Linked DNA regions of Callithrix jacchus. The protein of the gene in region 4 interacts with the protein of the main gene of each other region in a biochemical or structural test. Links are inferred from orthologs where the notes say so. Each region holds a gene or a part of one and is shown on either strand. Other genes may lie near its edges. The genes, in order: EVI5, ARHGEF16, MAPK12, DLG1, PBK, PTEN and CRIPT.

Region 1 (3,944 bases), on a different chromosome or scaffold from region 4:
CCAAATAATAGTTGCCTCATGTGGAAGCACATAACATTACATAACATTATTTCTGCCACGTTGTAGGAGCTGAAAACGTTACTGTCATTCCTCTTAGGAAAGTATCTGACACAGTTGAATATCTTTAATATATTTGTCAATAAATGAAGGAGTAAATAAATGAAGCATTCTTAGTGACTGGCTTGGAGATTCACTTGCAAATGGGGATAACAATAGGATTATTGTTTGGAAACCCTTTCTGTGGAGAATCTAAAAACACATTTCCAGCCAAATGATGAAGATTAAGTGAAATGATAGATGAAAAGTGCTTCCACAGTATGCAGCTATGGTAAGTGCTTTAAAAGCACAAGCCATCACCAACGTAGGGGTGTGCACCTATAATCCCAGCCACTTAGGCGGCTGAGGCAGGAGGATCACTGGAGCCCAGGAGCTCAAGTCCAGCCTGGGAAACATAGTGAAACCCTATCTTTAAAAAACAAAACAAAATTCAAGCTATCATGAGAGAGGTAATTCTTTAAAACTAATATATCAGATCTAGAAAAGTACTGAAGAAGTGGCTTTATTTAGGTACCTCTCACAAGGTATATTATTTGCTGCTATATTGCATAGTAAACTCTCAATGGCCCCTGAGTAACAGAGCTGTAACATTCATTAATAGAACACGATAGCCTGCAGAATACCAAAACCTCAGGTCAGGAGTGAAAAAAAAAAATCCAAAGAAGAAATTTCTACCAAATTAATAATTTTGTCTAGTGCCAGAAAACGCCTAATTATAGAAGTTTCTGGCCAATGCCTCAGCATCGACACTCAAATACAATAACAATTATAATGTCATTCTGAGATAAATCAAGTCATGGAAGGAAAGAAGAAGATGGAAGGAAGGAAGGAAGAAGGGAGGGAGGGAGACGGGGGGGGGCGGAGAAAAGAAGGGAAGAAGGAATGAGAAACCAAAATCAATTAGTATGCATAAGACCAAAAAGCTTTGTTTTCAGCATTCTTAGTCCTCCACATTCCCAGCTCCCTACTACCTAACAAATGTATAAGGTGGAACTGAAAGGGTGTTAAATGGGTGGATCCCAGTGGCAATGTCGTTAACACTCCCTATGAGTCAGCTATAAATGCAATTCAAATCCCCAGCCTCCCTGTCTTCTCTGCTTATCATGGTTACCACCAAAATGACTGCTGCCTTTAGAAACCCTAGTGGAAAACAGGTAAATGTGTAAAACAATGTTTGATTTTATATTAAAACTTACAAAAATGTAATTGCTGTAATAGAAAGTATTTTGTTATTCAGCTAGGATTTGTATATTTCACTTAATCTTCAAAACACAGGAACAGCTTGTTAACATTTCTTCAGTTTTATTTTAAGAATGTTATCTTATTGTATTGCGGCCATTTGAGTGATGAACAAAATTTATGAAATGTTAGGTTTAATTCCACACCTGCAAGAAAGGTATTTTAGTAACTGTTTTTTTGTAATTCAACACTTGCCACAATTCTCTCCTTGCTGTAATTGGCTGCTGTTTATGTTTCTTTGAATACACATTCACAGAGGAGAACTAGTGTGTCTGTATGGGCTTCAAATTTCTCATATGGAGAAAAAGAAAATGACTGGTTACCATAGCATTTGTTCACAAACTCTATTTGGTGGCAATGTTGATGGTTGCATGGCCTTTCAACGACGGTTTCAGAAGTGTTGCCTCCCGTCATGTTTGGGAACACAGTTCATAATAAAGGCTACATTAATTTTTCTGTAAGGTATCATGTTCCTAATATAGTTTCCTTGTTTTTTTTTTTTTGGTGGTTGTGGGGGAAGACTGCTAATTAACGTTAGCTAATGTTTGTACCTGGCTTTAATTAGACCATTTTACAAGAAATAAAAACACATCTCATGTCGCATCTATGATTGGGACTCTCATTCTTATTTGCTTGATGAAGAGACTGAAGCTTCAGAGGTTAAAAGCCAGACAATTAGCAGGTGTCAAAGTCAGGATTCTTCTAATTCATTCTTTATTATTTATCTGTCTTTTTATTTTTGCACATTGGTGCTTTGTGGCTTTTGAAAATAGCAATTGCAATAGCTACTATTTTTGAATACTTCTTACATGCATGGTATATATTATTCTACCTAACTGTCACTTCAGTGCTTAAGTAGATATTATTATCTCCAGTTTATGGATGAGAAGATTGGAGTTCAAAGAACGCAAAAGGGTTGATCACATTTTTGGCAAGAACACTTAAAATTTTAGGTCACAGGCTAGTCACTTGCATCAATGTAGAAGTTACTAGCTCCCAGATAATTGGACAGTTTAAGTGGAATACTAACTCTAGTTCCACCAGATTTTATCTTGCTTTAAAACAAGTATTTTGGAAAGTCAAGCAATGAATGAACTTCTTTTGGTGGGTAGGGTAGAAATTAGCACACTATGGATGTCCCATTCTGGTGGCGCAATTTCAGAAATTTTTTGGGCTGACAGTGTTAATGTGTAGTATCACATATAGAAATGATGTCTGAGCTCGAGAGCCAGAGAGCTTGTTCTTTCCCACAATCATGGCAGATCTAGTCTCTACCTGTGCACAAGTATCAAGAGATTGGCTGGGCGCAGTGGCTCACGCCTATAATCCTAGCACTTTGGGAGGCCAAGGTGGGTGGATCACCTGAGGTCGGGAGTTCAAGACCAGCCTGGCCATCATGGTGAAACCCCATCTTTAAAAAAAAGAAAAAAAGATATAAAAGCAAGAGATTAACAGAATTGTGTGTCTCTTAACAGTGTTATTTCCTAAGATGATGTCAGGGTCTTCTAAAGAATGAATATGGTGGAGGTAAAGTGGTGAAATTGAAGGTTTTTTTTCTTTTTTTTTGAGACAAGATCTTGCTCTGTTGCCTAGGCTGCAGTGCAATGGCATGATCTTGGCTCACTGCAACCTCTGCCTCCTGGGCTCAAGTGATCTTCCCATCTCAGCCTCCCTAGTAGCTGGGACTACAGGTGCATGCCACCATGCCCTGCAAAGTTAAAGCTATTCTTATAACTCCAGTGCATGGTGGCCATAGCTTTTTATTTGAGTACCTTTCAGATTTGTATACTAGAAAGTAATGAGCCTGGTAAGATAGGCTGTTACTATTTTACTGTGAGCCTTCATTTAAAAAAAAAAGTTTTGAACATTAGTAGGTGTTGAAATAGAGTATTATGTCTCCTTTTTCTTTAATAGTGCTACCAATAGGACTTCCTGTTGGATGGAAATGTTCTATATCTGTGCTGTTAGACAGTAGCCACTAGCCACGTGTGCTATGACTGAGCACTTGAAGTATGTGAATATGACTATGAAACTGAACTTTTAATTTAAGTTTATTTATTTTTGAGACAGGGCCTCACTCCGGCACACAGGCTGGAGTGCAGCGGCATGATCTCAACTCACTGGAACCTCCACCTCCTGGGCTCAGGTGACCCTCCCACCTCAGTCTCCAGAATAGCTACAGTTGTGCCACCACACCTGGCTGAGTTTTTATTTTGATTTTTGTAGAGACAGGGTCTGACTATGTTGCTCAGGCTGGCCTCAAACTCTTAGCCTCAAGTTATCCTCTTGTCTTGGCCTCCCAAAGTACTGGGATTACAGGCATGAACCACCACGACTGGCTTAATTTAAGTTTAAATGTAAATAGTCACATGTGGCTAGTGTCTCTAGTGGCTGCTGTATTGGACATTGCAATCCTAGAATGTGCCTGAGATACTCTGGTTCTCTAAAAAAGCTCCAAATACCAGGTGCCCAGGGTGAGGGAGGAATATTGCTCACCAGTGGGTTTGACTTCTCTGGTGAGTCCTCCTTTGTACCTTGGGTTGTTTTTGCCTTTCAGAGGAAGATCTCCTTTGATTTCCTTTCTGTGAGCAATGGAGCTGACTTAAACACCGTTGGCAGTTTAGAGCATGGTGTTTCAGGGTTTAATC
Region 2 (3,500 bases), on a different chromosome or scaffold from region 4:
CTGCTCAGACTCCCCTCAGGGAGCTGCAGGCACCAGGAGTTTCTTCCCAGGAAAGGGCTAGAGGATCTGCTGGAGGAGGCAGCCGGGATGGGAGTGGCTGGGGCTTAGAGCTGGCACCAGGGCCAAGCCACCCCTTCGCTTTTCACATCGGAAAATGGGGGCTTGTCCCCACCCTGTGGGGTCTCAGTGGAGAGCATGGCCCAGAGCAGTCCTCGTGCTTGTGGGGGTGGCTGCTCCTGCCCCAGGTGGACCGCACATGACCCCTGCTTGAGGGCCTAGGGAGGGTACCATGTGTGGCCGTGGGCGTGGCGGGCATCAGGGAGGGCAGGCTCCCACCTGCAGTACAACGGGGCTCCTTGTTCTTCATCTGGAGGGGCTGGCACTGTAACCGCCCACCATGTTCCATGGCACTTCGTGCCCCAGGACCCTGGCCAGGGCAGACCCAGCGTGGGGTGAGGACAGGCAAAGAGCAGCCCCCTCACAGACAGAAGGGTCTGGAAGTGCAGGTTTACTCCACTTTGGAGCTGGGCATGTGTGGTCTCCTCCTGTCTGGGGTGGGGTTCAGCACTGCACCCTGGTAACTGCAGAGATTCCGGCCCCTCATGGGAAGGAGGCACTGGCTTGGGGGACAGGGACTCGCTCTTGGACAAGGTGCTGTTGGCAGCCTTTCTGCCCAGCCCAGTGAGGAACAGAGCACAAAGCAGGGTGACCCGGGTCCTGCAGAGGGGACGCCGGGCAGTGTGACAGCCCGCTGTACCTGACGCACTCTGCCAAGGGAACCACGCTCCTGCCAAGGTGACCCACCAGCTGTGGCCCCTGAGGAGAAGGGAGCCGGGTGGGCACAGCATCACCCATACCTTCACTGACACCTCGCCCAGGTGGGGTCTGGGTCAGTCCTGCCCTCCACATTCCCTCGCTGGGTGGGCCCTGCATCTCTCCATCTGTTGGGAAGGTCTTTGGGATGAGAGCCCCTCCTGCCCTCTGGCCTTTCCCTCTGGATGCCCCATGTTCTTTTCTGGGCTGCTCTGGGGCTCTTTGGAGGGGTTGGGCCTGCTCATCAGCATCCCCTAGGAGGACTCCACAGAGAGGAAGGTGGCAGGGACAGGTTGGCTCCAGGGTCAGACTTCACCAAGCCCAGCGGGGTGGCTGTGGGTGTCTGCCCAAGCCCCTGCCTCAGCTGTCTATCAGGAGGTCCATCAGGAGGAGGACAGAAGAGAGACTTTAGCACGGGCTTCCAGGACATGTGACCTGGAGCTCCTGGGCCTGTGTCCCCCCAGGTGATGGAGTCAGGCATCCTGGAGCAGCTCTCCACCGAGGAGCGCAAGAGGCAGGAGGTGAGGGCCCTGGGCGGGAGGGCCACCCCACCATGGCCTGGGCCACACCATACCCGGGGAGGGGTAGCAGCCAGGTGGTACTGCCAGCCTTCCCTCTGTGGCCACCTCCAGCGCCAGGCCCCTGTCCTGATGACCAATGCCTCGAACAGGCCTGGCTGTGCCTCTACCCATGCTGTGCCCTGATGGAGCCCCTTTGTGTCACCGGGTGAATCCTCAGAGTCCAGCCGCTGCCATCACCCTCTTTTCCAACGTGGACGGGGTTCATTGCCCAGCTTCATGCAGCTCATAAGGCACCCAGCCAGGGGCATGCAGGGAGGTCAACCTGGCATCCCCAGGCTGGCTGTCCTGACAGGCCCATCCAGGGGTCTGTCTGAAGCTCCTGTCCCCACCTGCCCCTGCCACCTGGGCCACATCCTCTGAGCATCAGTCCCTGAGGCACGCCCGCATCCAGTGTCACTGTGGGGCTCACCCAGGCCCCTTTCCGCAGGCCATGTTTGAGATCCTCACGTCCGAGTTCTCCTACCAGCACAGCCTGAGTATCCTGGTGACAGAGTTCCTGCAATCCCAGGAGCTGCGGGCGACCATGACCCAGATGGAGCATCACCATCTCTTCTCCAACATCCTGGACGTGTTGAGTGCCAGCCAGAGGTAAGGCCTCACCACAGCCTTCCACACAGGTGCCTCTGTCAAGAAGGCGCCCCCCATCCTGGGCACCACAGCAGCATCAGCAGGACCTGGGGAGCCTGGGCTTCACCTGATGGGACAGTTTGGGGCAGCTGCCACGGAGCGTGACAAACTCTGATGGTCCTTGAGGCCATGGAGAGCTGGACCCAGGGCCAGGCCAAGTGCTGGGCTATGGCGTCCTGGTTGCTCGTAAGATGTGGAGCACTTCTCAGGGCTACAGCCCTGCCACACTGCCAAGTGCCATTCACCAGGACACCCAGGCACAGAGGGCTGCATGACCCAGGCAGTGGTGCTCACAGCTGCTCACCCGTAGGCAGGAAGTTTCAAGTTGCAGCCCTGGGTCATGTTCCACCCAAAGGTGTCTGGTGGCTGGACCTGGGCTCTGGTTGCAGGGCCTGGAGCTGGAAGAGTCTGGAAATGCAGCTGATGCAGCTACAGGCCAGCATGGGTGTGTGTCCACAGGTGTGCGTGCATGGGTGTGCATGTGTGTGCCTGGGCAGGGTGTGTCCACAGGTGTGTGTGCATGGGTGTGCATGTGTGCACAGGTGTGTGCCTGGGCAGCGGTGTGTCCACGGGTGTGTGTGCACGGGTGTGTGCCTGGGCAGGGGTGTGTCCATGGGTGTGTGTGCATGGGTGTGCATGTGTGTACAGGTATGTGTGCCTGGGCTGGGGCATGTGCATGGGTACACGGGTGTGTGCTGGGCAGGGGTGGGTCCACAGGTGTGTGTGCATGGGTGCACAGGTGTGTATGCCTGGGCAGGGGTGTGTCCACGGATGTGCATGGGTGCATTGGTGTGTGTGCCTGGAGAGTGGCTTGGGAGCATTTGGCACCCTGGTGTGTGTGCATGGGTGTGTATGGATGGATAGAGATGCATGTGCATGGTGTGTGTGCCTGAGCAGGGGTGTGTGCAAAGGTGTGTATGCATGGGTATGCGTTGGCATGGGTGTGTGCCTGGGTGTGTGTGCGTGCATGGACGGGGTGTATGTTTATAGGTGTGCGTGGGCAGCTGTGTGTGCATGGGTGTGTGTGTGGGTGTGCATGGGCAGAGGAGTGTGTGCATGGATGTATAGGCGTGTGTGTGTGCATGGACAGGTGTGTGGCAGGGGTGTTTTTTGTAGTGGTGTATTACGTAGGTGTGTGTGTGGGCAGGGGTGTGTGTGGTCTCCATGTGCTGCCCCTAGATTCAGGAGGACCCTGGGGCATCATTTAGTCCTCTGAGCCTTGGCCTCAATGTTAACCTGAGGGGCAGCGCCTCTGGCCACTTCATGGGCTTGGGCGATGCTGCAAGATGATTAGGGACCTGTAGTGCCTGGTACGGGGTGGCCCCAACAGTGGTGGCTGCTGGCTCATTCTTATATCAGCCCCACCCCTGGCAAGTCCCACCCATCTACTCCCTGTGGGGTGCCCTTGCGGAATTTGGGGACCCTGAGGGTGGACTGGGAGCCACCTTATTCCTGGAGGCAGGGGCTTTCTGTAGAGCT
Region 3 (4,058 bases), on a different chromosome or scaffold from region 4:
ACAGCCCCACCTCAGATGCCTGGTCTGTGTGGGGCCTGCTGGACCCCTGAGCCCCACCATGAGGAGTGAGGGGGACAGCAGTGGAAGCAGGGCTTCCTGGAAGACGTGGATGGAGTGCCACAGGCAGCCCAGGGCACAAAGGTTGCAGGCCACAGCCAGTTGTGGTTTGGGTAGCCCCGGGCTACCCCGGCTCACTGGTCACCAGCTGGTGAATGCCGCAGACAGCCGGAAGCCCAGGTGTAAAGCTACTCCCACCCTTGAGCGGCTGAGCTGCTGATTCATGGCAGGAGGGCGGGCGGGGGGCCCTAGGGAACTTGTTACCCACCAACCCAGTGGGTTCCAGGGGTGCACCCCCCATCCTTCCTGAGACCCAGATCACTGGGCTGGGGAAGGGGTGTCAGGGTGGGGCTTTTCACTCTGAAGCATCTGGTCCAGGATGGAGCCAGACCGATGGGAGGATGATGCCCACACGGAGGGGACAGGCTGAGGGCCCAGCAGGTCCTCGTCCCTGTAGGAGAGAGTGCAGCCATGAGCTTTGCAGGACGGAACAGGCAGGGGTGGGACAGGCAGATGCACTGACACTTGCAATGCGTGGAACAAGCACCCCACAGAGGAGAGAAGGGGAGGAGCTGGGGGTGCAGGAGGGCCCACGGGGACCTATGGGACTGGGAGGCCCAGGGTCAGTGGCCACAGCAGTGGGGTTGGGCATGCAGCTTGAGGAGTCTGGGAGACAGGGACGCAGGCAGGACAGGTGCAGGTGGACCCCACGTGCGGGGACAATGGTCAGGCACAGCGGCAGGGTATCCTTGGGGGTGAACCTGGGAACACAGGGCTCAGCCCAGGGAACTCAGGGCAGGGGGACAGTGACTTGCAGCTGCAGACCCAAGTCGGTTCTCAGGCTGTCACGGATGGGCCTGGAACTGTGGGGAGTAAGGACTGGAGCCCGGCGGGGATCCTGCTGAGAACGCCCCTCCTCACCCCCCAAGGCAGGGAAGTTCAGCCAAAGGGCAGAGGCTGGCATGGGTATCTCCGCGCCGCGTCCAGCCCTAGGTCCGGACAAAGCTGCGGGGCGGCGCTCCCCTCCCCCTGCGCTTCCCCCCAGGCTCCGGCCCTCCCCCGGCGGCGGCCGCCTCGGGTTTCCGGAGGGGCCGGAGGGCGGGCGAGGGCGTCACGTGCGCGCGGCCCGCGGGCCGGTTGGTCCCCGGGCGGGGGAGGGGCCGTGCGCTGCCTGGGTCGGGGCTGGGGTCGGGCAGGGGTTGGCACCTGGGACATCCCTGCGGGAAGAGCCGGGAGCAGGAGCGCCCCAGCGGCGGGCGGGCGGGCGGGCGGACAAGCCGCGCGGAGCGGGCCCGGGGCGCGCGCCGAGGGAGCCCCGCCGATCCCGGGTTACCGGTCCTGGGGGAACCGCCCGCGGGCTCTGCGGAGTGGGCGGCTCCCGGGCCTGCCATGAGCTCTCCGCCGCCCGCCCGCAGTGGCTTTTACCGCCAGGAGGTGACCAAGACGGCCTGGGAGGTGCGCGTCGTGTACCGGGACCTGCAGCCCGTGGGCTCGGGCGCCTATGGCGCGGTGTGGTGAGCGCGGGCCGGGTGGGGCGGCCGGCGGGGCGGGCGGGGCCTGCGCGGGGTGCCCGGCCTTCCCGCTAAGCGTGTGCCCCGCAGCTCCGCGGTGGACAGCCGCACCAGCGCCAAGGTGGCCATCAAGAAGCTGTACCGGCCCTTCCAGTCCGAGCTGTTCGCCAAGCGCGCCTACCGGGAGCTGCGCCTGCTCAAGCACATGCGCCACGAGAACGTGAGTCGCGCGGCCCCGCTCCGGGAAGGCGCCGCACCACGGCTCGGCTCGGCTTCCCCACCCAGCGACGCCCCCTCAGCAGGCGGCTGCGGGGCGGGGCGGGGACCGGGCCGTGGATCCCCAGGGGAGGAGGAGAGCAGGGCTCAGCCCCCGTCTTCTCTGCCAGCCCCGGGAAGGACTCACCCCCTCAACTCCGCGCCTCAGCCAGGCCCTGGTCAGGGGACACGAGTTGGCCAGGCTCAGGGATTCTCCAGCTCTCATGCCAAACCCTGCCCCCAGCCAGGAAGCCCGTGGTGAGAGGACGCTCCCAGTGGGCCGATTTTCCTGGAAGGGGCACCTCCCCTCTTTCCCATCCGGACCCCTCTCCAGCTCCTCTGTGGAGCCCACTCTGTTGCGGTCCATTTCCCGAGTCTTCTGACCCAGCGGGGGGCGAGGGGGGCGCGTCCAGAACGTAGGGAGTGTTGGACCCTCAGGAGCCCCTGGGGGTGCAGGGTGTAGGGAGCTGGGGTTTGGGGGCCACTGGGTGCGGTGGCCATCACACAGACACCCTCCCGTTCCTTGGGTGGTGGTGGGGGCCCATCCTTTCCAGCCCTGCCCATGAGATGCACAGCTGCCCTGGGCCTCTCTCATGGCTGTGGCTGGCTGTTGAAAGCCCTACCTTTCTGCCAGGGGCGCTCCCGTTTCTGGACACAGTTCCACTTGTTCACTGCCCCCCACGTCACTCCTGCCCTGCCATTTGAGCTCCTGGACCCTAGCTTCAGGGTCACACGCTCTGGACCCTCCTGGGTCATCCAAGCCACCAGCGCCCTGGGAGAACGAGTCCCTGCGTCCACCAGCAGACTGCCCCCACCACTCCCTCAGCCCTTGAGTGGGTGCTTTTCTCTGAGGCTTCCCATGCCCACCCTGACCCCAGCTCACCCCCCTGGCCCTGTGAAGCCCCTTTGTGGTGGACAGCAGTACCGCCGCCATCTCACCACCTCCCAAGTCACACCCAGGCCTTGTCCCAGGAGTGTACCCGCCCCCACCCTTGGTTTTATCCAGCTCCTCCCCTGCAGCCCCCTGGCCCCACCCACCCACTCACCTGTCTGTTCCTTGCCCCTGTCCAGCCAAGAGCCCCGGGCTTTTCTTTTTTCTCTGGAGACTTGTTGCCCAGGCTTGAGTGCAATGGTGAAATCTTGGCTCATCGAAACATCTGCCTCCCTGGTTCAAGCAACTCTCCTGCCTCAGCCTCCCAAGTAGCTGGGACTACAGGCACGCGCCACCACACCCAGCGGGGGATTTTGTATTTTTAGTAGAGCTGGGGTTTCACCATGTTAGGCTGGTCTGGAACTTCCAACCTCAGGTGATCCGCCCACCTTGGCCTCCCAGAGTGCTGGGATGACAGATGTGAGCCACCACGCCCAGCCACCAGGGCTTTTCTGTAGTCACTGCTCGCTGTGCCTGTGGGTCCACCCCCTGGGCTCCTGGCCTGCAGCTTCGGCTCTTCCCCTGGAACGCCATCATCCTGGGAGACTAAGGGTTTGCAAGGCCATGTGCCTTGCTCAGCTGGGGAGGAGGCTCTGGCACAGGCCCCAGTCCTGACGTTTCCAGGCGGGCCCCCATACCACAGAGGCCAAATCCATCCATCTGATGGCCCCAAGCCCACAGGACCCTGTTCTCCGTCGTGGGCTAAACCACTCTCCCAGGCACCCTCCAGCTCTCATGACTGCAGTCCCGGCTGCTCCCAGGCCTCCCTAGACCTCGCCCCACCCACCGTTCCTTCTCTTTCCACACTCTTGCCCTCAGCTCTGGCCCACGTGGCTACAGTGGAGCTGTCCTTCCAGCTTGTGCCCATTCTTGCCTCACTCCGGCTGGTCCCTATACCACAGCCAGGACACATTTAGCATCACACCCCTGTTTAAATCCTTCCCTGTCTCTTGGGATCAAAGCCAAACCTTCACCTGGTGTGTGCTTCCTGCCGGCTCCCTCTGGCCTCTCCTCAGCCCCTCCCTGGCCTGGGCCTCGGCCACCTGGCCTCCCTCCCTTTGTTCCTCAAACTCTCCCAGTGTTTTCCCTCCTGCCTCGGCTACTCTGTGTGTGCCCTCTGCCAGTTTCCCTCTGTCCACACGTCCACCTGCTCCTCTGTCCTTGGCTATGCAAAACTCCAGGCCTCTCTGGGACCCTGGAGGCCCTGTCACCCCAAAATGCTGAGGTGGCAGTTATCTTATGACCTGTCCACTGTCCGTCTCCCCAACCAGGGGCGTTGTGGGGACCAGGTCTGACTGGTCACG
Region 4 (3,500 bases):
AAGAATTTTTTTCTTCCTCCTCCATCTTCCTTTTCCGTCAACCAAAGATGCCTAATTTGCTGTTTTATAATCTTGACTAAGATCTTAAAGTTTACTCAGTCTCCTGCTAGAAGTCATACACTTGATAATTCAAAGTTAAATTTGGTAGTTTAGCAGATTATGTTTATTTACATTGCAAATGACAGAATAACATATAGTGTTTTACAGACAGTTTTGAAGTAGAAATTGTAAGGAAGCAGAGCAAAGAAGGGCAGAAGAGAAATTAGATGTAGGAAGTGATATAATCACAGTAGTGTTTTAGAAAGATGATCTAAAGAAGTGTAAACTCTAGGTTGCATAAGATCGTGCTGGAAGAATGGAGATGGGGAGTGAGGCCGAGAACTAACATTGTGGTAGAAGGGACGAAGAGCAGGTCATAAATAAGAAAGAAGTACAATAGTGCCTGGAACCTGATTAGCTGAGGAGCATGAGGAACAGAGAAGGGTCAAAGATGCTCCCAAGATTTTCAAAAAAGGGTTATTTGGAAGATAGCGATGTTAACAAGAACACTTGAAAAAAATTGCTTAGGAAATAAAACACAAATATAAAAGTCAATATGAAATGACTAGATTCTAATATACTATGGAATAAACTATGTTTCATAAAATACATGTAGTAAATTTCTACATATAACATTTTTGGGGGGTATTAGACTTTTTTCCCCCAAATTAAAAATATATTATTCTAGAAGATTATAAAATATGAATAGGCTTCACAAACCTTCTTGCTGATTCACTGGTTCATAAGATAAGACGTACTCTTCTTGACCACCTATTAGAAAGTGAAGGCACAGATGAAAAATACATAAAGATAACTGATGCTAGTCTAATTCTTCATAAACAACATATACATTACTATAACTTTCCTAAGAAAATGGCAAAGATATGGAAAGAGGTACTTTGTGGCAAGATTTAGTAAAAAAAAATAAATAAAAGTGGCAAATCATAAAGTCATAAAAGTGAGTTTGCTAAATGTAAAACAAAATATAAATGAGCTTTTAAATCAATAAATAATCATCAAATCTAAAATCTTCATTTGTGATACTACGTGCTACTTCTTTATTTAGAATTTAAGAATTATTAACTCTGTTAAAGATTAATGCTTTAATGAACAGTTCTATCTATATATATATATATACATCTTAGGTAATTGTTACTATTAAAAATATGCTACTTTTTTCACCAACTATAATACTGAAAACAGTATATTTAAAAAAATTACAACTACCTTAAAATTTAAAATTATAAACACAAAGGTAAAACTATTGTCACTATTTCACTGATGAAAAAATTCACAAATTAAACTTTGTAAAAAATAAGAAATTTAATGTGAATCAAAAAGAGCTTTAGACAAAACTAAATCCTTCCAATAAAAAAACCACATGATAGTAAAGGAGATAAATATATTCTGCTTTGAACTTAAAAGCATACAAGAAGTTAAAGCTTCCAAATTAAAGATTTAGAGCTTAGGATATATTCTAAATTAAAGAGTCTACAAATTATATCTGAATCCAATGAAAATAACTACAAAATTAAAAACTCTAGCAGTTTTTAACTAATACATATCCCCCTTGCCCCCACACCCAAAATTAGAAAAGACTGTGTTAACCCAAGTGGTTCAATGAAAACAATCAATACTGGATAATGTATTTGAAGACTTTTTCTTTAATTATCAAGATCCTATATTAATTTTACCATGAATTTTGCAATTGTTTTATATTATATGTATGTAGCTGCAGTCTTTTAAATCCATATATTGACATAAACATTCTTTTCTGCTTTAAGTGTGTATTTCTTTGTTTTTAATTTTATTATCGAAGTATATAAAACCAATATAAACTTTTTTAAATTATTGGATGTAAAACATGGCTTACATACTAGCAAACACATGCAATTGGAATATTCCACTCCTTAATAATTCATGCAAATGGTGAGACAGACAGTATATACTTTCATTACCTCTTTTTAGCCTAGAAAGCCACTCCACTACTCTATAGTGGATTCTGGTTATAAGCAATAAAATGCTGAAATACAAGAAATCATTTCCACACCAAAAAAAAATTAAGTAACTATTATGTAGAAAAATAATCAACCAAATGAGTGATGGTTAAAAGTATATACTGTCAACATGAAAAAGTATTAGGGACTGATATTAACAGGATGGACCTTTTGGGCAGCCGTACTCATCTGTAATCAAGATTACTTTCATTTTAGACAGCAGTAAAAAAAAAAAAAGTTAGAAAAGCAATTTTAATTTTTAAGGTGCTACAAATGATAACATTATATACTTTCCCCTTCTCCCACACCCAAATCTGTTTAAAAACATCACATGCTTGTGTAGTTCACTTAATAAAACCAAGAATGTAATATAAAACATCAAAAGAGAAATTAGCATTATTTTCTGAGCAATCATTGAAAATGTTTCCTTCCTTATTTCTTCTGTTCACCAAGTGCTGGTGATAAACAATGACTTGATCCAGAACAGTATTGGTAAAATAATGAAAACAGAAATAAAGCTAATTATAATTTAGCATTACTGAAAAATATTATTTTAGCACTCATGTTAAAAACAGAATTCAACAAAATGTCAAAATATAAGTTTTCCCCCATATAAGTATTTACTTTTTATAAAAAATATATATACACACATATATGTACTATGTACACAAATAATACTATTTTTAGTATTTTATTAAAATTTTATAAATTAACCTCTACATATTATGATTTTTTTCAAGCACAAAATTTTACTTGGCTCTTCCTGATTTTAATATCAATCATATTAACTTTAGGGTTTTAGAACATATTACTAAGAATCCCTCCACCCCTGCTGAGGATTTACTACTTGAAATTATAAAAGAACAAGTAACTTAAGACACTTACGGTAACTACTTTCACTATCGCTGGCATTAGAAGTTACATGCTCTGAAATTGCAGGACAATGGAAGACAAATAAAGAAAACACAGTGTCATGAGTTTAAAAAGCTGATAAAAGCAAATAATCAAAATAAAAGAGGGTGACATAAAATGTTGAGGTATAAGCCATATATAACAAAATAATTTTTTAATTTAAAAGCATTTTTTCTTTTCTTTGAAAGGTTTAATTTTTTCAAATAAATATGTATTAGCAAGGGAAAACACCTGTAATTAAGGACAGTGCCTTATTTTTGTACAACACAGTTTATGAACAAGTCTCTACTATAAATAGCGAGTAGAATATAACAAAGGCAAAATGATCCTGAATTAGTCTAAATGTAGATATACAACTCAAAGGGAAAATATTGTTGGCACTATCTAATTCAGTCTTTGAAACAGCAGTAACTAGCAAAGGGGACAAACTATATTTAAGGAAATAGATCCTCATTTTAATGAAGGGAGGTCTTTGTAATTAAAAATAAATAGACGATGTTATTTATAGTCCAGCTCCACTCCTGTTTCTGAAAATGAAAGTCAATTTTTCTG
Region 5 (3,500 bases), on a different chromosome or scaffold from region 4:
ATCCTCCCCACTGTGAAGATACTAAGACTTCTCTCAGTATATTAGATCTCCCAATTGAAATGGAAATGTAGTGGAGGTGTTCATAGTCCAAAATATGTCAAATACTATTTTTTAAAACAAATTACCTTCAAGTTCCCCCCCTGCCAAATTTGGAAGTTGTTAATTATTTTAAAAAAGTATTGTGGCTTTTGTTGTTTTCTATCCTTTTTAATTTTCTTAGATCTCCAAGAGGTTTGTCTCATTCTCCTTGGGCTGTAAAAAAGATTAATCCTATATGTAATGATCATTATCGAAATGTGTATCAAAAGAGACTAATTGATGAAGCTAAGATTTTGAAAAGCCTTCATCATCCAAACATTGTTGGTAAGTTTAAATTTGGTGGCAGTATCTGGTACATCATTGTTTATTCAGAAACAGCTTATATGCTCTCTTAACTGGTTTCACTAATAGAAATGAAGAGGATGGGGCTGGATGTTTAATGGGAATCAAATTAATGTGATCAGCCTAAAATAAAACTGTGCATATAATTTTTAGGCATAAGTATATATTTAAACTTCAAGAGAATAGATATAATTATGTTGCTAGTTCTATGAAGATTTTAGGAATATAAAATTTATCTTTGTTTAGATAATTTAAATCCATTTAGGTAATTTTCCTGGATTTCATTTTTAATACAAGTAGGGCTGGCAAAACCATTATATTTAGGGAAGCAAAGGAAAGCAAAAGTATTTTAATTTGTGGTACTACTGGCAAACACTGAAGGCATTTTAAATGAGATCTACTGAGTTAGTCTTCTAAGTAGTAGCCGTTTCATTGTATATTTGTTAGTGTTAGCCCAGGTCCATGTTTTCAATCGCATTACTATAAAGGACTTAAAAATATTATTGTTCTTCTGTATATTAGCAAAGAAATGTCATGTTTTCTTTAAGGTTATCGTGCTTTTACTGAAGCCAGTGATGGCAGTCTGTGTCTTGCTATGGAATATGGAGGTGAAAAGTCTCTAAATGACTTAATAGAAGAAAGATATAAAGACAGCCGAGATCCTTTTCCAGCAGCCATAATTTTAAAAGTTGCTTTGAATATGGCAAGAGGGTTAAAGGTAACTATGTCATTATATTTTAAATGAGCAAATAATCACTTTGCAGGACATCTTTGAATGTGGAATATTGTTACTAGTCAATTCCAAAAAGGGGCTAATGTAAAACTATAGGCTTAACATTTCTGCTTCCGAATTACATTTATGTGTATGTAGCTTAGTATGTTCTGAGCAATGTGTCATTTGGCAGTTTCATCACTGTGCGTGTGGATATCATAGTGTACTTACACACACTTAGATGGTAGAGCCAACTACACACTTAGACTATGTGGTATAGCCCAGTTCTCCTATGCTGCAAACCTGTATAGAATGTTACTATACTGAATACTATAGGCAATTGTAACACAGTGGTAAGTACTGTGACTAAACACATTGAAACATACAAAAGGGCTGGGCGCAATGGCTCGCGCCTGTAATCCCAGCACTTTGGGAGGCCAAGGTGGGCAGATCACGAGGTCAAGCGATTGAGACCATCCTGGCCAACATGGCGAAACCCCGTCTCTACTAAAAATACAAAAATTAGCTGGGCATGGTGATGGGCACCTGTAATCCCAGCTCCTTGGGAGGCTGAGGCAGGAGAATCGCTTGAAACTGGCAGATGGAGGTTGCTGTGAGCCCAGATTGTGCCATTGCACTCCAGCATGGGCAACAATAGCAAGACTCTGTCTTGGAAAAAAAATAAAGTATAAAAAGTTAGCTTAAATATATATCTATTCCTAAAGAAACTTTTAGACTTCTGGTCAGTGTGGCAGACTGAGATAACCTGAGATGTTCCCTTCTCTTGCTTCAAATAATTTGAAATGCTGGGCCAGGCACAGTGGCTCACACCTGTAATCCCAGCACTTTGCGAGGCTGAGGCAGGTGGATCACTTGAGGCCAGGAGTTTGAGGCCAGCCTGGTCAACATGGTGAAAGCTTGTCTTTACTAAAAACACAAAAATGAGCCAGGCGTGGTGGCATGCACCTGTTGTTCCAGCTACTTAGGAGGCAGGCTTAAGCAGGAAAACAGCTTGAACCCAGGAGGCAGAGGTTGCAGTGAGCCGAAATTGTGCCATTGCACTCTAGCCGGGGCAACAGTGAGACTCCATCTCAAAAAACAAAAAACAAACGAAATGCAAGTTTAAACTTTAGGGAGTTCAAATTGTTATTTTGATTTGGAGGTTATTACATTTTTTATTTATGTTTCTGCTCATGTGTGTTAAATTTCTTACTATTTTAGTATCTGCACCAAGAGAAGAAACTGCTTCATGGAGACATAAAGTCTTCAAATGTTGTAATTAAAGGCAATTTTGAAACAATTAAAATCTGTGATGTAGGAGTCTCTCTACCACTGGATGAAAATATGACTGGTAAGTCGTACTCTAAGTTTTAAAATTTTGTTTTTAATGTTTACATTTTTAAATATAGAAGTCCACGTGGATCAAAAATCAAAAACTTTTTTTAAAGTATATGGTAAAAAAGCCCTTGTTTTTTCTCTTCCAGTAAGCCTGCAGTCCTCTCCCTTGCTACATGTACGTTGTAAATTACTATATTAGTGGTAGTAGTATTAATGTATATTTTAATTGGAGTTAACTTTGGGAAAGATTTCTAACTGAATTGGGATATTTATGCAGTAAAACATCTGGGAATAGAAAGTAAAAGGTTTGTAAAGCAGCATCAGTAAAGCGACAACATTTAGGAACCTGGTAGAGGAAACCAGACTGAAGCAGGAAAGAGAGGTGCTGATGAAGGCTGGTCTTCAGCTCTTTGCCCCTTGGCCCACCCCAGCTCATTCTTCTCTACTGTATATACTGATCATTGGCTTCTCAGGGAATTTAAGATCTGTTCTTGGTGAGAAATAAGAGCCTCAAGAGAAAGCCTCTGCTTGCAACGTATTATTTAGTAAATAATACTTAAATTTGTCTCTTTATATAAACCTGAGTTAAACAAATGGTTAATAGATGCTGTTTAGAACATATATATGCCTAAATTTCTAGCTGAAATAAAAGTTGAAGGCAAGAGGCAGGATGAAGCTACAGACTTGATAAATAAAAGTCTGTAATCATTAATAAAAATAGAACTGTTGTTCTAAATAACTGTGACCAAGTAGAAACTTTAGGAAGTAAAAGAATAAATTGTCAAACATAATAAAACTGAGGGTTTTTAAAGTATAGTTTTCTCAATCCTTAATAGATCAAACAGACAAATGTAAGGATGTTAAAGATGTGAGTAAATGGCAAGGCAACTCTCTCAGCACCATAGTATGTATTAAAATTGACCATATTCTTAGACTTCAGATTATAAAAAGTATAAAGTCTAATAAGTGATATTCCTTAACATCAGTGCTGTTAATCTAGAAATTTGTAATAGAAAACAAAAACTCCCAACTTTTTAGGAATTTAAAACACTTCTGACTAATTTTTGGC
Region 6 (3,500 bases), on a different chromosome or scaffold from region 4:
ATTTCCGTTTTCAAGGAGAGGTAGCTAAGGCCCAGAAAGGTTAGGGAACTTGTTAAAGGCCACATATCTATAAATAGTAGGTAGTAGATTTGAGATGTAAATCAGATCTGACTTCAAATCCCTTCTTCATTGTATTATATTGACAGCCCCTCCCTATTATCCAAGAGTCATTATCAATTATTCTTCTCTTACAACCAACATCCACTCCATCAGTAAACCCTTTTAGTTAATCTGACAGCTTCTTGTTACCTTTCACTGCCACTATTCTAAGCAGTGAAGGGCAACAAGAAGAAAACATCATCTCTCACCTTTACTAAACTATTCAAGTGCCTCAACTATCTCTCAGCTTTAATTATTACCCCTTCTCCCTACTTTCCTCACTTATCTATATTTTGAAAGCATAAACACAGGGAGTATTAAATGCAAAATTCAGATTATATCCTTCCTATGCTGAACACACACAAGTATCTTTACACATGGACTGGTTTTCTTGTCTACTCTGTTTTAGTCAAAATGACTTATCCACTCTTCAAATACACCAAGCTCCTTGCCTAAAGGCTTTTGCATCTCTACTCTTCCCTCTTTTCCCAGATATTTGCATAACTCACTCATATGATTTAGGCTCTGCTTAAATATTATGTGCTTGGTTGGGCCTTCTCTAATCATCCTAGCTAAAAAACAAAAAACACACAAACCAAGATTATTCTCTCTATTTTTATAGCACTTACCACAATATGACATTGTATTTGTTTACTAATAACAGAGCTTTTATTTGTAATCACAAATATAAAAATCTTGCAATATTAAAACAGAAAACAATAAAACTAGAAGGAAAAGATAGTTTAAAGGTTAATGGTTAAGCAAAATGCAGATTTAGAGAAAACAAAGGAAACCTGTAGATTTTAAAGAAAATGTCTTTCCTGGAGGAAATGATGTTAAGTAAAATCAGTCAGGTACAGAAAGATCAATACTGCATGTTCTCACTCACATATGGGAGCTCAAAAAGTTGAGCTCATAGGAGTGTGGTTATTAGAGGCTTGGAAGGGAGGGAGAGGGGAGGATAGGAAGATGTTGGTTAAAAGATTAAAAATTACAGATAGGAGGAATAAATTATAGTGTTCTACAGAACTGTAACGAGTCAACAATAATTTATTGTCTATTTTCAAATAGCTAGAAGATAGAATTTTGAATGTTCCCAACACAAAAAAATAACAAATGTTTGAGGTAATCCATATGCTAATTACCCTGATTTGATCATCACACACTGCATACATGAAAATATCACTCTGTATCCCATAAATATGTATAATTATTATATATTAAAATTTTTTTAAAAAGGGAAACTTCTCAACACTTAAATTTAAGAGCTAAAGGCATTTAATATTAGATCTATTTTCACTTAAAACATGTAGGGGCCCCTTTACTGATTTTTAAGTATTACTATTACTAGCAATTTTTTTTTTTTGGCGGGGAGACAGAGTCTCACTCTGTCACCCAGGCTGAAGTGCACCAGCGTGATCTCGGCTTGCTGCAACCTCTGCCTCCCAGGCTTAAGCGAGTCTCATGCCTCAGCCTCCCAAGTAGCTGGGATTACAGATGTGGGACACACACCCAGCTAAGGTTTGTATTTTTAGTACAGACAGGGTTTCACCATACTGGCCTTTTAAACTCTTGGCCTCAAGTGATCCACCCGCCTCAGCCTCACAAAGTGCTAGGATTATAGGCAAAATATTACTAGCAATATTCTTAATACTCAGAAGCTATAGATTTGTTACATATTATAAAAACTGAGTGAAAAATTAAGAGCGAGAGTAAAAAAGAGAAAGAAAAGAGTATGGTGAATGGACAGGGGGAAATCAGGTAGAATAAGAAATAGGAAAGCAGAAGAAAAAAATGGCCAATAACCATTTTGGAATGTTTTACAAATCAGAGTTTTTCAATTTGAAGAATTCTTGTCTATAAGTAGATATATATACCTAGGTACAAATATACGTATCACATATAGACAAAAATGAGACAAACCAAATAATTCTAAGACACAAAATAAGGAAATAGGATCTTTTAAGAAGCATAACAGGGGAGGACAATCAGAGATATGAGATTGAAGCTAAGGCTGGAAATATGAAGACAGCTATGTGAAGGACAGGGAAAAGGCTGGGATAGAAAGGTACAGGGAGAAGGAAAAGAACTGGAAAGATTAGAGGCAGAAGTTAGCATTTTGCAGAACTGAAGAGAGACCAGTATGTCTGAATCTCAAGAAGCAAGGAGAGAAGGTGACTAGGGCTGATGTAGGAGGTAGGCCTGTGCTAAATTATGCTGGTCCTTGTAGGTCATGGTAAAAAAAACAAAAAACCCAAGGTCTTTATAAAGTGAAAACAGAAGTGACATAATTAAACCTATTTTTAAGGCCACTTTCAGGGGTTGAGAATAAATTGGAAGGGAGACAGGAGTGGAAGCAGTAAAAACTTCCATATGAATCATTCCCAAATGACTGAGTTTCCATCCATTTCTTTCCTCTTCCATTCCTACTTCATATCCCAGTCATTTAACCCCCCTCCTGTACCTTTGCTTCAGATTTCACCAAACAACAACAATGAATTGGGAAAAGGAAAAATGCAGCTTTTCTGACTCTGTGTACATCGGGTATTTTATTAAAAACTTTCATGTTACTGGTACATAAACACTGCTTCTAAATAATACATAATTTAAGAACTTGTCAAGCAAGTTCTTTATCAGCTGTACACCTAGAATTAAACACATATCACATATACACAAATCATCAACCCCTACAAAATGTTTAATTAACTGACCTTAAAATTTGGAGAAAAGTATCGGTTGGCTTTGTCTTTATTTGCTTTATCCAGATCATTTTTTGTTAAAGTAAGTACTAGATATTCCTTGTCATTATCTGCACGTTCTATACTGCAAATGCTATCAATTTCTTGATCACATAGACTTCCATTTTCTACTTTTTCTGAGGTTTCTTCTGGTCCTGGTATGAAGAATGTATTTACCCAAAAGTGAAACATTTTGTCCTAAAAAAAAAAAAAAAAAGAGAAAGAAAATTATTTATTTTAATATTTTACTCTTTAAAAAAATGTTACCCATATTAAACATTTGCCAACAAGTCAACAAAATAAACTATCATTTGATATATTCAAAAAAGGTAAACACTAAGACTATTATATGGCAATCTGAGTTTTCTGTTGCATTTTTGTTACATGATTTTTTGTCACTCAAATTTTAAATCAAAAATATAATCTTGCAAAATCTAAGATAAATTACTTTTGTCTTAAAATTTTAAGCAAAAAACCTCTTTTCTAATCTAATACTAGCTTTAAAAATGGTTTTGTTTTATGTGTGCATACATATAAACAAAATTCAGATATGAATTTAATTTTTTCTGAATTTCAAAAGAGCTAAATATTCCAAGATTTACCTTAACAAAAGTTCTTGGAAGGTAAGTGCAACTTCCCTGATGATGCACGGCAAATACATGT
Region 7 (4,110 bases), on a different chromosome or scaffold from region 4:
AGGCTGATTAGGGAAACCTCTCCGAGAAAAGACCCTTCAGCTGAGACCCAAACACCAAGGAGCCAGATACGTAAGCTCTCAGTAAAGACCTCGAGGACACAGCAGCAAGGACAAATCTCTTTGGATGGGGGAGGCTTGGCAGAACCAATGAGGATGGCATATGATGAATGAGGAGGAGTATGGTACAATATGAAGTCAGAGGGGGACATACAGTAAGGAGGAATAAGGTAAAACCAGCAGGTTATAACAAATAGCTTGGTTCTGAGTGCCAGGAACCACCTAACTCTATGTTTTATTGCAATTGGAATGATGCACATCAAATTCACTCCAGTAGGCTTAACATTAAAAGAGTGAAAATTATATGACTTCTCTATGGATCCTCTTACCCACCTTGCTTTTTTTGAAGTCAAAGCTTTATTTTCATTCAGCTTTCTTCCACCACTTTCTGTATCAAAATAGAAGTTATTTTAAAGGGTTACTTCTATACATTTAACATATAACATTAAGAAGTTCATTCTCTGACTTTCTGCCAAACTAGTAGCCTATATCTAATTTTTAAATCTTCATTTAACAGTCAGGTTATTAAGACGCTGCTTAAAAAGAAAACATTTATTAGAGAAACAATAAAAATTTGTATAAAATACAATCATTTTATTTTTCAGACTCAAGGTAGTACCTTAGGAATGGGTCTATATTTACTTGATATACTGTAAAATCTAGAACCCACTACTTCAGTGTCATAGACCTTGAATGTCTATGTTTCTTTTCTTTCCCTTCGAAAACATACTTTATGTATTTAATGATAATGAAGGTAAATACTTCACTGTAAGTAATTAATGATAATGAAGGTAAAATGGGTTAAAGGATTTATTCAAGAATATAAAAACCAGATTTAAAAAAATTTCTCCTCAGAAGAGCGGAGAAATTAAATGCAGTCTCTAAATAAGCTGAATCAAATCAAATATTATGATACTGTCACCACTTGACAATCATTTAATAATTTTGCTATCTCCTGATGTTAGGAACCTGTACAAGTAACAGAACTAAGTAGAAGATATTAAATAACTTGGGGACCCAGGATTCTTTCATGTTTAATAGACAAAATACTTTGAACACATTTCATTTTACAAATAACGTAAAAGATAAAATATTCACAGGAGTCTCTGGTTAAATTCCTATTTTCTAAAAGAAGAAATACCTGTGGTATTCCTAGCACCATCTTTCCATGTATCTGGAGTGATAACAGTACCAAGTTTCTTTTCACCTGTTATAATAAGATAGTAAAAAGCAATTTAAAATTTAGTATTTCATAAGTGCATCACATTGTGCCTAAGGTTCACAATGGTATCAACAGTCCTATTACTGCAGGAGCCTGTTAATGCTGGGAGAGCAGTCAGTGAACTGAGACTTGTATTAACTGTGGGCAATGAATGACTGATCCACAGTAAAATCCGTAGGATAATAAGATGGCTTATAATAAGCTTTCTCTGTTTGTTTATACTTTAAACAAATCTGGCAAGTCTATTTGTTCCATACATATTTACTAAGCATCTATGATGTATAAACTATACAAATTACTGAAAAAAATAAGTGATGAATCAGACAAAATTTTAAAGAGATTATAGTACAGTAGTTTAACAGCAATCTTTAATCTATGTTCCACAGGTCGATCTTAAGAGATATGTGAACAAGGCAGAATTGTACACAAACCTTTTATATATCTTTTTTTTTTCTTTCCTGGCAAGAGTCTATAGCTTTCTTCAGATTCTCAGAGAGAACCTGAGAATCATTCAACCAAAATATAAGCTAAAAATTAAACGGTGTAATAATTGAGAGCTAAAGTACTAGGTGAAATTCCATGCAGGAAGATATAACCCTGGCTAAGGAAATCCAAGAAAGTTTGGGGAGAAGGCAAGAGAGAGGATTTGAATATGTGGCAATAGGACTGTGAACAAAAAGGAGTAAAGAGGATAAAGGCAGACTGATAAAGGACACATTCTGAGGAAAGGCATGGAAAGCTCCGAGTACACATGGGCACAAAGGGTAGTTACGTTTGGTCAAAGTGTGAAGAGGGTAAGGATCAGTGAAGATGAAGCTGGAAAAATAAGTTGGGGCCTTATTGCGGAGGGTCCTGAACGTCAGGCTCCAAATACAGAATCCCCACATTGTTCTCTGCACACTGAGAATTTATTAAAGGTGTTAAATTAGGGAAATAGTAACTTGCACTTGCGTTGATGTTCAATTCACACATCTTCTGGGCTTACTCTAAGCCATATTCTGGCATAATGACTAACAGGAATGAGTAAGACGAGGTCCTTGGTCTTTGGTTCTAGTGTGTTACATGAATAAAAAGGAAAGGTCAGGAATTGCAAGAGGGAAAGGTGTGATTGGGGTTTAACTGAACATTTTTATACGGGAGGGGAGCTGATGAGATCTGGAGCTGGGGGAAGGCAATGGAAATAGACAAGGAGATGCAGAACTAAGACCATTCTGAAAACAAAATATACTATAGGACTATATGGTCTTTGGGGAGGTGCAAAAATGGTCAAAGGGTAGAGCAGAAGGACAGCGACTAGAATCAAAGATGTGGGCGAAGAAAAAACAAAAGAGAAGGCAGAGTTCCCGGGAGAGTTCATTTAGGTTCCCCCAGTTTCTTCCTCCCGCAGGAGGAGCCCCTTAACTCACATTTTTCGCAGACCATCCTTCCCCACGACGGTTCCCCTAGCCGCAACAGCAGCAGCAGCAGCAGCAACAGCAGCCCGAAAACATCAAAACTAAAACCCGGACGGCTTCCCCTTCCGGGCTACGTCAACCCACTTCCGGCTTCTAAGCACGCCGCTCCGGTCTAGCCCAAACTTGGAAGGCCGCGGGAGGAATGAACGGGAGCGTCTAGGCGGGGCTGCCCCATCTGCCCGCCCCTCTCTTTCTGCTACTGGCTATGCGGCCCTGGATCTCCGCCCCTTAACCCTGCGCTTGCGGGTGGGCCTGGGTAGCACGTCGTACCTGATGGTAGGAGGCAGTAGTTCCCCGCTTCCCTTCCGCGGGTGGGAGAGTTAGGTAAGCCCCAATGTACGCCCCCGGCGATCTCGCCCCCCGGGGTGCAAGCCACCCCCGCGAACTGCCGTAGCAGCCGTGAGCCTTGGCGTCCCGGCCCGCCCGCTCTCGCCCTCAGCTCGAGCGCCACTCTTCCGGCGTGCTCTGATGGACAGACCCCCCCTTTCGGATCCGAGTTTCTGCCTCTGTCCCCCAGTTTTCCCTTGTCTCCAACTCCCGTGCTCTTTGATCCTGCCTCTCTGCTGGTTCCTGGCTGTCGACGCTCGCGCCGGCCTAGGCTCGGGCAGAATCCCGAGCGACCCAGGTTGGGGTGGGGCTGCCAGTGAAGGTGCGGCGATGCCCGCGAGGGCTCCTCTGGGGGCCGCTCGGAAGCGCCGTCTCTCTGCTGCGGTGCCTAGCGAGGTGGGCCAGGTCATACCCGTGGCACCCTTGTAGGTGTCCTGGGGGCACGCCAGGGCCTAACACGGTGTGGGTTTCCCAGGAGAGTTAGTTTCCCACTTTACATACTCTGGTTCCTTCATTCGTTCAGCAAACATTTGAGTTTGGTTCCTGCTTATTGTAGGAGCATCTCCTGTTGGCAGCTGCGATTCCGAGGGTGGCTCAGAAAAATGGATGAAGGGTTTGTTGTGAGGATGGATTCCTGATGATTGCCCTCCCTCAATCAGCTTAAGATAGAATCTATAGGAAACTTTCCCTTTGTCCCTTCTTGCCATCCGTTTCCTTCTCCATCCCTTTATTTCGTTGTACCAGAGAGAGGGCTGTAGCTCTTGAGAACTTGGACCTCCTTACCTGTTTGTCGTGTTTCCTTATCAGTAAAGTATCTGCCTTTGAAAAGCATTGGGTGAATTAAGTGAGAGCAATTTTTTAAATTGCATTTTAGGTTTTGGGGTACATGTGAAGAACATGCAAGATTGTTGCATAGGTACACACGTGGCAGTGTGATTTGCTGCCTTTCTCCCCTTCACCTATTATAAGGTCCAGGTGTTTTGAAACAAATACATTGCCCATAGGAAATTGACTTTATGACTTATTTGTAGGGGTTGAAACATTTTGGAC

Evidence for each region.
Region 1: the proteins of DLG1 (region 4) and EVI5 interact in a test that uses a peptide from one of them, tested with the Homo sapiens proteins (2 studies listed by IntAct, with this or other methods). The link is inferred for Callithrix jacchus from reciprocal best matches to the Homo sapiens genes DLG1 and EVI5.
Region 2: the proteins of DLG1 (region 4) and ARHGEF16 interact in a test that uses a peptide from one of them, tested with the Homo sapiens proteins (2 studies listed by IntAct, with this or other methods). The link is inferred for Callithrix jacchus from reciprocal best matches to the Homo sapiens genes DLG1 and ARHGEF16.
Region 3: the proteins of DLG1 (region 4) and MAPK12 interact in a test that uses a peptide from one of them, tested with the Homo sapiens proteins (2 studies listed by IntAct, with this or other methods). The link is inferred for Callithrix jacchus from reciprocal best matches to the Homo sapiens genes DLG1 and MAPK12.
Region 5: the proteins of DLG1 (region 4) and PBK form a complex in vitro, tested with the Homo sapiens proteins (2 studies listed by BioGRID and IntAct, with this or other methods). The link is inferred for Callithrix jacchus from reciprocal best matches to the Homo sapiens genes DLG1 and PBK.
Region 6: the proteins of DLG1 (region 4) and PTEN form a complex in vitro, tested with the Homo sapiens proteins (2 studies listed by BioGRID and IntAct, with this or other methods). The link is inferred for Callithrix jacchus from reciprocal best matches to the Homo sapiens genes DLG1 and PTEN.
Region 7: the proteins of DLG1 (region 4) and CRIPT form a complex in vitro, tested with the Homo sapiens proteins (3 studies listed by BioGRID and IntAct, with this or other methods). The link is inferred for Callithrix jacchus from reciprocal best matches to the Homo sapiens genes DLG1 and CRIPT.

What each region holds. Positions count from the first base shown.
Region 1 is NC_133508.1:130,484,138-130,488,081, reverse strand, and holds the start of EVI5 (ecotropic viral integration site 5 protein homolog), read left to right. Parts: upstream 1-1,144; 5' UTR 1,145-1,160; coding exon 1,161-1,211; intron 1,212-3,944. UniProt on the Homo sapiens protein: Functions as a regulator of cell cycle progression by stabilizing the FBXO5 protein and promoting cyclin-A accumulation during interphase. May play a role in cytokinesis.
Region 2 is NC_133508.1:41,343,099-41,346,598, forward strand, and holds part of ARHGEF16 (rho guanine nucleotide exchange factor 16), read left to right. Parts: intron 1-1,277; coding exon 1,278-1,334; intron 1,335-1,821; coding exon 1,822-1,982; intron 1,983-3,500. UniProt on the Homo sapiens protein: Guanyl-nucleotide exchange factor of the RHOG GTPase stimulating the exchange of RHOG-associated GDP for GTP. May play a role in chemotactic cell migration by mediating the activation of RAC1 by EPHA2.
Region 3 is NC_133502.1:218,838,445-218,842,502, reverse strand, and holds the start of MAPK12 (mitogen-activated protein kinase 12), read left to right. Parts: upstream 1-1,258; 5' UTR 1,259-1,446; coding exon 1,447-1,571; intron 1,572-1,658; coding exon 1,659-1,788; intron 1,789-4,058. UniProt on the Homo sapiens protein: Serine/threonine kinase which acts as an essential component of the MAP kinase signal transduction pathway.
Region 4 is NC_133516.1:25,083,307-25,086,806, reverse strand, and holds part of DLG1 (disks large homolog 1), read right to left. Parts: intron 2,964-3,500; coding exon 2,922-2,963; intron 2,241-2,921; coding exon 2,205-2,240; intron 811-2,204; coding exon 760-810; intron 1-759. UniProt on the Homo sapiens protein: Essential multidomain scaffolding protein required for normal development. Recruits channels, receptors and signaling molecules to discrete plasma membrane domains in polarized cells.
Region 5 is NC_133514.1:13,889,492-13,892,991, forward strand, and holds part of PBK (lymphokine-activated killer T-cell-originated protein kinase), read left to right. Parts: intron 1-220; coding exon 221-363; intron 364-929; coding exon 930-1,099; intron 1,100-2,314; coding exon 2,315-2,444; intron 2,445-3,500. UniProt on the Homo sapiens protein: Phosphorylates MAP kinase p38. Seems to be active only in mitosis. May also play a role in the activation of lymphoid cells.
Region 6 is NC_133513.1:80,555,628-80,559,127, reverse strand, and holds part of PTEN (phosphatidylinositol 3,4,5-trisphosphate 3-phosphatase and dual-specificity protein phosphatase PTEN), read right to left. Parts: intron 3,036-3,500; coding exon 2,811-3,035; intron 1-2,810. UniProt on the Homo sapiens protein: Dual-specificity protein phosphatase, dephosphorylating tyrosine-, serine- and threonine-phosphorylated proteins.
Region 7 is NC_133515.1:68,132,468-68,136,577, forward strand, and holds the start of CRIPT (cysteine-rich PDZ-binding protein), read right to left. Parts: upstream 2,801-4,110; 5' UTR 2,702-2,800; coding exon 2,686-2,701; intron 1,265-2,685; coding exon 1,199-1,264; intron 446-1,198; coding exon 391-445; intron 1-390. Other genes in the region: PIGF (GPI ethanolamine phosphate transferase, stabilizing subunit), read left to right, coding at 3,202-3,456. UniProt on the Homo sapiens protein: As a component of the minor spliceosome, involved in the splicing of U12-type introns in pre-mRNAs. Involved in the cytoskeletal anchoring of DLG4 in excitatory synapses.